Canis lupus familiaris: one gene and its partner. The protein of the gene in region 1 purifies or fractionates together with the protein of each later gene. This does not show direct contact. Links are inferred from orthologs where the notes say so. Each region holds a gene or a part of one and is shown in the gene's direction. Other genes may lie near its edges.

What was found.
Region 2: the proteins of TAF15 (region 1) and HNRNPU purify together in Homo sapiens (affinity purification with mass spectrometry; 3 studies listed by BioGRID, with this or other methods). This does not show direct contact. The link is inferred for Canis lupus familiaris from reciprocal best matches to the Homo sapiens genes TAF15 and HNRNPU.

The regions. Positions count from the first base shown.
Region 1 is NC_049230.1:37,813,209-37,816,908, reverse strand, and holds part of TAF15 (TATA-binding protein-associated factor 2N), read left to right. Parts: intron 1-423; coding exon 424-553; intron 554-3,336; coding exon 3,337-3,429; intron 3,430-3,700. UniProt on the Homo sapiens protein: RNA and ssDNA-binding protein that may play specific roles during transcription initiation at distinct promoters. Binds to ssRNA containing the consensus sequence 5'-AGGUAA-3'. Can enter the preinitiation complex together with the RNA polymerase II (Pol II).
Region 2 is NC_049228.1:35,785,377-35,789,920, reverse strand, and holds the start of HNRNPU (heterogeneous nuclear ribonucleoprotein U), read left to right. Parts: upstream 1-1,518; 5' UTR 1,519-1,757; coding exon 1,758-2,448; intron 2,449-3,343; coding exon 3,344-3,455; intron 3,456-3,539; coding exon 3,540-3,613; intron 3,614-4,544. UniProt on the Homo sapiens protein: DNA- and RNA-binding protein involved in several cellular processes such as nuclear chromatin organization, telomere-length regulation, transcription, mRNA alternative splicing and stability, Xist-mediated transcriptional silencing and mitotic cell progression.

The DNA.
Region 1 (3,700 bases):
TTAGAAATGTATTACCACATGATGTAAAAAATTTACGCAATTCTGAAGAGTAAACATTCTTTGTCTTCCACTCCCATCCCAGCCAGCTGCAGTTTGTATACCTTAGTGGTAATCTATTAATTTGCCTGGTGTACATTCTTCCTGACTTTTTTATGTTTTACAAGGTACATTTTTACATGAAGCATTATCTACATTTTTTTTGTGAGTTTCAAGAAATTATACATAGATAAAACATTGTATCATTTTCATAGCTTGGGTTTTACTTAAGTTTTCCTTTTCAGAACCAATAGAAAACTTCATTTTTATATTAGGTACATAGATTTGTAGTATGGATATGTGAATTCCTTTAAAAAAAAATCTTTAATTGTGTGGTTTATGATTACTTTTTCTTAAAATGCTGATACCAGCTTTTTGTTTCTTCAGACAAATAAGAAGACAGGAAAACCAATGATAAATCTGTATACAGACAAGGACACAGGGAAGCCAAAAGGAGAGGCAACAGTGTCATTTGATGATCCTCCTTCAGCTAAGGCAGCCATTGACTGGTTTGATGGTATATCTTATTCATATAGTTTCAATATGCAGTTTGGTTAAATGTTTTCTAGTCTTGAAGTCAAAATATATTCTAGTAACTGGTTGTTTTCATGTTTACTTTTGTGGATATTTTTTATTAAAAATAAAAACCAGGGATCCCTGGGTGGCGCAGCGGTTTGGCGCCTGCCTTTGGCCCAGGGCGCGATCCTGGAGACCCGGGATCGAATCCCACGTCAGGCTCCCGGTGCATGGAGCCTGCTTCTCCCTCTGCCTGTGTCTCTGCCTCTCTCTCTCTCTGTGACTATCATAAATAAATAAAAATTAAAAAAAAAAAAAAACATTAGAAAAAAAAATGAAGACCAGAGTTTTTACATATCTTTAGAAATGAGGTAGAAGAGCTCTCTCATTGTTTGTCTCCAGTATTTCCTTTTTTTTTTTTTTTTAAATTTTTATTTATTTATGATAGTCACACAGAGAGAGAGAGAGAGAGAGAGAGAGGCAGAGACACAGGCAGAGGGAGAAGCAGGCTCCATGCACCGGGAGCCTGATGTGGGATTCGATCCCGGGTCTCTAGGATCATGCCCTGGGCCAAAGGCAGGCACCAAAACGCTGCGCCACCCAGGGATCCCCTCTCCAGTATTTCCTTATTACTCTACCTTGTGCTTGAAGCCACCCTGATGGAAATTTAGAGGGTTGACCTGCTTAACTCTCTTCTTTGTAAATTTAGATTAATATCTCTTCAAATATAAAGTTAATACATATTTGGAAGAAATGTTAAGACTTTTTTCCCCCAAAACAGGAAAATATGGGAAAGTAGAAGAAAGCAGTAAAGCATCTGTAATCCTCTACTTAGAGATAATCATTGATTTTATATATATATATATATATATTTTTTTTTTATAATATTTTTTAATACGGGGATCTTGGGTGGCTCAGTGGTTGAGTGTTTGCCTTTGGCTCAGGTTGTGATCCCGGGGGTCCTAGGATTGAGTCCTGCATCAGGCTCCTTGCAGGGAACCTGCTTCACCCTCTGCCTATGTTTCTATCTCTCTCTGTGTCTTTCATGAATAAATAAAATATTTAAAAAAAATTTTTTTTCCTTCCATTCTTTTAAAAGTATTTAAGAAAAATAGTTTATCATTATACTCCAAATGTAGTTTTGTCTCATCTTTTTTTCACTTAACATTTTAACAGTCATTTCCCCATGTTATTAGAAATTCATTGTTTTATACTCTAATTAGAACCAACACCAACTGCGTGTTTACTGGTTTATAGTGTAGACATGGTCCTAGAAACTTTATATGCATTAATTCAGTTTGGTCCTCAAAATAACTGTATGAGACATGCACCCTATTACTACTATTTTTAGATTTTGAAACAGACACAGAGAAGCTGTATAATTTCCAGGGTCAGGGATCCCTGGGTGGCTCAGTGGTTTAGCGCCTGCCTTTGGCCCAGGGCGCGATCCTGCAGTCCCGGGGTCAAGTCCCACGTCAGGCTCCTGGCATGGAGCCTGCTTCTCCCTCCTCCTGTGTCTCTGCCTCTCTCTCTCTCTCTCTCTCTCTCTCTCTCTCTCTCTGTGTCTATCATAAATAAATAAATAAATCTTTAAAAAAATTTTTTCCAAGGTCATAGCATAACTGGCAGAGTCAGGATTTAAACTCAGGCAGTCTGGATCCACAGTCTCTAAAGGACTTAACCATACTAGATGAAATTGACAGATACCTGAGGTCCCTCTGGTTCTGAGATGATTGTACCTATGTCTTTCAAAACATAATTGCATTTCTTTATTTCTTAAAAAATGAGATTGTGATACTCTTCCTGTCGTCATCTTCATATTCTTTACTTTTTTGCATTAATTTGTCAGGCCTTATCACCTTGCTCTTTAAGACGTGGTCCATTTTCCTCATTTGTTTTCTATAGTTTTGGTGAATTAAAACACAATCTCTTTTGCTCATTATGTTAAAAGTAATTGTGCTTTTTTCCCATAGGGCATGGGAGCCTCTTAACTCCATAGTTCAGGTTATTCTGTAGCTTTGAAAATACTGATCCTTGAGTGGCTTCCTAGGTCATACTGTCTGATATTGTGGAAAGTTGCCAGCCATAATGATAAGGGCTTTGATCAGGATTCTGAGGCTTCTGGAATTGCAATCATTTTATGAATCTTCTGGTTTAATATAAAGTAAAAAGATTAATTACTATCTCTAAGGCCCTGGGGCAGAATATATATATATGTGTGTGTGTGTTTGTAAGCAATCACATATGCTTTCATTTTTTGGGCCTGTATTATTTTTAAAAATGCTACTTGTATATGGTTAAAAAAGTTTCAAACTATACCAGAAGTGTGTAGTAAAAAATGGGCTTGCTTTCTACCTTTGACCTCCAGTGATCTGTTTTTCCCTACTGAGAGTTGAGCATAATAGGCAATGTACATATAGCATATGTGTGCATGTAAGGGCACTTGTGCTCACCAACACACTCATTCCCCTTTATAAAACAGAAGTGGTAGCATACTATACACATGGTTCTGCACTTGGCTCTTCTCATATAAAAATGTTAGATGTGGGTTTTTTTCTTTTTTTTCTCCTTAGTAAGAAGTAACTGCGTCCAAGTGACAGATTTGCTTTACTCAATAGATTATGTTTTAGCACTGTTATTTTGACCCTTAGGGAACACTGGTGTGTTTGAATTTTTGTGAGGACGTGTTACTGCTCTGAAACTAAGAATTTCTAAGATAGTTTTATATTTTATTGAGAGTTGGAGATGTGGAGTAGCATTTCTTCAAAACTCTTTTTTTCTTAGGAAAAGAATTCCATGGCAATATCATTAAAGTGTCCTTTGCTACCAGAAGACCTGAATTCATGAGAGGAGGTGGAAGTGGAGGTGGGCGACGAGGTAAGTCACTTGTTTCTCACAGGCCTGGATATTGTACAAAGGGTTTCAGGCCCGGATATTGTACAGAGGGTTTAAATTTGAGTCCATGTTCTGTCTCTGTTGTGTGAACTACTCCACAGGTTTTTTTCTCCTTCTGTCTTAGAGTGGGTACTGAAAGGAGATTTGGTAAATAGGTGTCATAATAGCTAAGTAAGTAGTTGGAAGAAAATTTTAGAAGTACTTTTGGAAAGCTTTGTGGCAGTTTGTTATTCACCTGGAGATCAGGAGGCAA
Region 2 (4,544 bases), on another chromosome or scaffold:
TTTAAACTTTGATTCATGAAGGGACTAATTATCCAGTTTGTGAACCTGTAAGCCCCTGTAGCTCTCTTCCCATTCTTTGCAAAGAATTTGAAACTCCAGTTTGTGAGTTGTTTATAAGCTCCAAGGACATCGTAACCAAAGGCCAAATGAGTTTTTGGCACTATTTGGAAGTTCCTATTTTGGGTGCCTTCCCCCTCCACTGACTTTCACCGAGAATTAGCAGTACTGTACATACTCCATTAGTTAATTTCAACTGTCATTCCACAGATGTATTTCATCTTTATGACGACTGAGTGGTAAAACACATGGTTCTTGGAAGCTATGGAGAAGAAACTTGAAAAAATAAAATGCATTCAACGGTTAAATCATACTGGCCTCTGCTAGTATTGCTCCAGTTTCAAGTTAACATTCGGGGCAGCACTACTCCAGCTCCAGCACCACACAGTGGGTAGGACTGAGCTCTCTGATAGTGGGACGTTGTCTAGTCACTGTGCAGGCTTTCTTGGGGGTGTCGCATGCGCCCCTCTATCACGTATCTAAGTGCTGGCCCCCTGTGCGCAACCTCAAGAACCTAACATGCCTTTTATTTGGGAAAAGGGAAAAATCAAACTTCTAAAACACACCCAAATACACAACAGATTTCGGGAGCCGATTGTCTCTTTTTTCTTTCTTAGAAAATCCCGGCCCTTTGACTCGTCCTGAGCTCTTACTGGCTTCAGCACGACTTATGGGGGGTGTTCCTGCGGGGGGGGGGGGGGGGAGAGGCGGCGGAGGGCACGATCCGGGGGCGTGAGCTCGCGGGGGGCCGTCTGGGCGGGCGGACGTGCCCCTCCGAGGCTCGCCCCGCTCTCCCGCCCCGGGGCGGCCGGACCAGCCCTGCCATCCGGGCTGGGGAAGAGACAAAAGGGATGCTCTGTCCTCGCCCTTCCCGAGCCTAAAATCCAGGGCGCAGGGCAGGGCCTGGGAACATTCCACCAAATGCGAGACGGAAGGCACCCCCCGCGGGCAGGGCCTGCCCGTCCGTGCCGTACACATCAACACGGAAATAAGATTTCGAGGCGTTTTAAGCAGCGGGCTGGCGAGCGAGAGAAAGAGGCAGGCCCATCCAAGATGGAAGCAAGGCCGAGGGCTCGGGCGGAAGCCGCCGGGCCGGGGCCGGGGCCGGGGCCGGGGCCGCCGGGCTCTGGGTGCAGCAGCCCCGCGCCCGGGGGCCGAGAGCGAGGCGAGGGCCGCCAGCACCCAGCTCGGGAGGCCGCCCGGCTGCGGCGGATCGCTGTAACCGAAAGGCGGCCCCCCTCCTCCCCCAGCTCGGCCCCGCGGGAAGCGCACTGCGCGGCCGGCGCCGCGCTCTCGGCGGGTTGGGCGTGGGGGCGGGGAGGGCAGGGCGGGCGGGCGGGCGGGGGCGGGGGCGGGGCGCGGGGGCGGGGCCCCGCGGCGCGGGCGCGCTCCCCCCCGCAGCGGAGCTCCCGTCAGCGCAGGGGGCGGGGCGCCTATATTACGTGCGCGGCGCCGCCCCTGCGAGAGGACGTTGCGTGCTCGCTCGCGCCAGGCGAGTCTCCGCGTCTCCCTCGCGAACTCGGTGAAAGGAATTGGCGCCGTTCGACACCAGGCGGGTCCGCTCTGCAGCACGAACCCACCTCTAGCCGCAGCCGCAGCCGCCGCCCGGGCCGAGGAGCAGCCGCAGCAGCCGCCACCAGTGGCCGAGGGAGCGGAGCCGAGTTTGAGCCAGCGCCTAGCGGTGAATCGGGGCCCTCACCATGAGTTCCTCGCCTGTTAATGTAAAAAAGCTGAAGGTCTCGGAGCTGAAAGAGGAGCTCAAGAAGCGGCGCCTTTCCGACAAGGGCCTCAAGGCCGAGCTCATGGAGCGCCTCCAGGCCGCGCTGGACGACGAGGAGGCCGGGGGCCGCCCCGCCATGGAGCCCGGGAACGGCAGCCTAGACCTGGGCGGGGATTCCGCCGGGCGCTCGGGAGCAGGCCTCGAGCAGGAGGCCGCGGCCGGCGGCGACGAGGAGGAGGAGGAGGAGGAAGAGGAGGAGGAAGGGATCGCCGCCCTGGATGGCGACCAGATGGAGCTAGGAGAGGAGAACGGGGCCGCGGGGGCGGCCGACGCGGGCCCGATGGAGGAGGAGGAGGCCGCCTCGGAGGACGAGAACGGCGACGATCAGGGCTTCCAGGAAGGGGAGGATGAGCTCGGCGACGAGGAGGAAGGCGCGGGCGACGAGAACGGGCACGGGGAGCAGCAGCCTCAACCGCCGGCGACGCCGCAACAGCAGCCGCCACAGCAGCGCGGGGCCGCCAAGGAGGCCGCGGGGAAGAGCAGCGGCCCCACCTCGCTGTTCGCGGTGACGGTGGCGCCGCCCGGGGCGAGGCAGGGCCAGCAGCAGGCGGGAGGTAAGAAGAAGGCGGAAGGCGGCGGAGGCGGCGGTCGCCCCGGGGCTCCGGCGGCGGGTGAGTGCTGCGTTGTACGTTGCGCGCGGCGGGAGGCCCGCGCGGGGTGGGGACCGTGCCCCAGGCCTGCCGGAGCCCCGCGGGGGGGAGGGGGCGGGGGCCGCCGCGGGGGAGGCGGGGGGGAGGGGGCGCGGGGAATCCCGCCCGGCCGCGAGGCCTCGGCGGCCTCGGGCTCGGCGTGTGCGACGGCGGCGGCGCCTCCATTATGTGGCTGGAGGGCCGGGGGGTGGGGGTGGTAGCTGCAGCTGCCGCTGGAGGGGGAGGAGCCGCGGGCGGCGGGCGGGAGCCCGGTCGGCCCGCGGTGGCGCCGCTGCGCTGCGTGCGCGCGGTGCGGGCACATGTCTCGGGGGGGGGAGGGGAGAAGAGAGGCCCGAGGGCCCGGGGCGGGCGCGCTTTGGCGGCGCTGGGCCGCGGTATTGTGCAAGGAGCGCAGGGGCTCGGCGTGACGTCACTTCCGGCGGGAGGGGCCGGGCGGGGAGAGCGGGGCGGAAGATCAGTACAATGCGGCCGCGGGGAACGCGGGCCCGGGTGGGGGAGGGGAGGAGGGGAGGGGCGGGCGCGCGGGCCGGCGCGGCCCCTCCCCCCTTCCTGAACTCTCTCCGGGATCCACGTGGGCTCGGGGCCGGGGCCGCCCTGGGCTCCGGGAGCTTTCTCGAATCTTCGAAGAGGCTGGCAAAATTAGGAATGTCTTTAGACTGCGTCACTAGCTCCTGGCCGGTTCCAAGCTGATTGTTCTTTGAATTCGCGTTGGATTCGTCGGTTGAAATCGCTTGCAGAAAAGAACGGGGGAGTTAGGAGTATTTGCGTTCCCCAAACAGGAGGGGGGATTTTTTTTTCTTTTTCCCCGGTTGCGTCGCGGCTTGGCCCCTTATGTTAGGGGTGTTGTGTGTTATAGGAGACGGCAAAACAGAGCAGAAGGGCGGAGATAAAAAGAGAGGGGTGAAAAGACCTCGAGAAGATCATGGCCGTGGATATTTTGAGTACATTGAAGAGAACAAGTATAGCAGGTAGAGGATGCCGATCTAGTTTTACCCGTCCCCGTTCTTTCTGGGGTAGGAAAAGCTGAATCAGGAGACAATTCTGTCTTTCAGAGCCAAATCTCCTCAGCCACCTGTTGAAGAAGAAGATGAGCACTTCGATGACACAGTGGTTTGTCTTGATACTTGTAAGTGAAGCTGTTTCTTCCCTTTTCTCCCCCGGTTACTAAATGTGGCGATTTTGGTGCCAAAATGTTAGAGAACTTAAACGCAGTGTGCTGAATTTAAATGCAGAATACTTAGCGTAAACCGTTTACCTTTTTTAAAGGAGGGAGACGAAAGGTTTTATTCAGATTCTGGTAGCTAAATGTCTAATACAGCATCAATTGTGTCGTATTGATAATTTTATAGGCTCCAGCAATTTGGTGTTATTTTTTATATGATTAGAAAGTTCTCATTTATAGGAATGTAAAATTAATGGCAATTTTTGGTTTAGTTAGCTAATGGAAACTTGTAAGACAACCTGTAACTTGTCCTTTTAGGCTCCTACGATAAAGTAATTTAATTTTTTTGGTAGCATTTTATTAAGTGAGCTATTTGGGCTAGTTAAATACGTATTAATGATTTTTTCCCATTAGCACACAAGTATATTCCCTATTCTAAAAGATTGTAATATTACTTTTTCAATAACTGCTCTTTTGTTCTCAATTCCAGTTCAGTAGCTGCTGCTTTAACATAAGTTGATTTCTTCCAAAGACCTGGGGCAGCAGCAGTGGGCTATCACTGGGCTACTAGCTTTCTTCAGCAGCGAATGGTATCAATGGCAGCGCTGTAAATACTGCTACTTTACCCAGTTGGGTTGCAATTGAGTATGAGGAAGTATTGCAAACCTCTAAATGGGCCTTGGCTGTCAGATATGTAATTTTGCATAAAAATACTTTGTTCAGTATTTGATCAGAATGCACAGCTCTTTCACTTTGATAAATAGAGCTTAGAAATAATGGCTTGCTAAGTAGGTGGTCAGGTGTGAACCTGCCCCATAGATCTAGGGAGTTAAAGTTTAGATTTCCGTGTTTTCCAATACAAATTATTTTTAGCAAGATTTGTGAGAATGTAAAT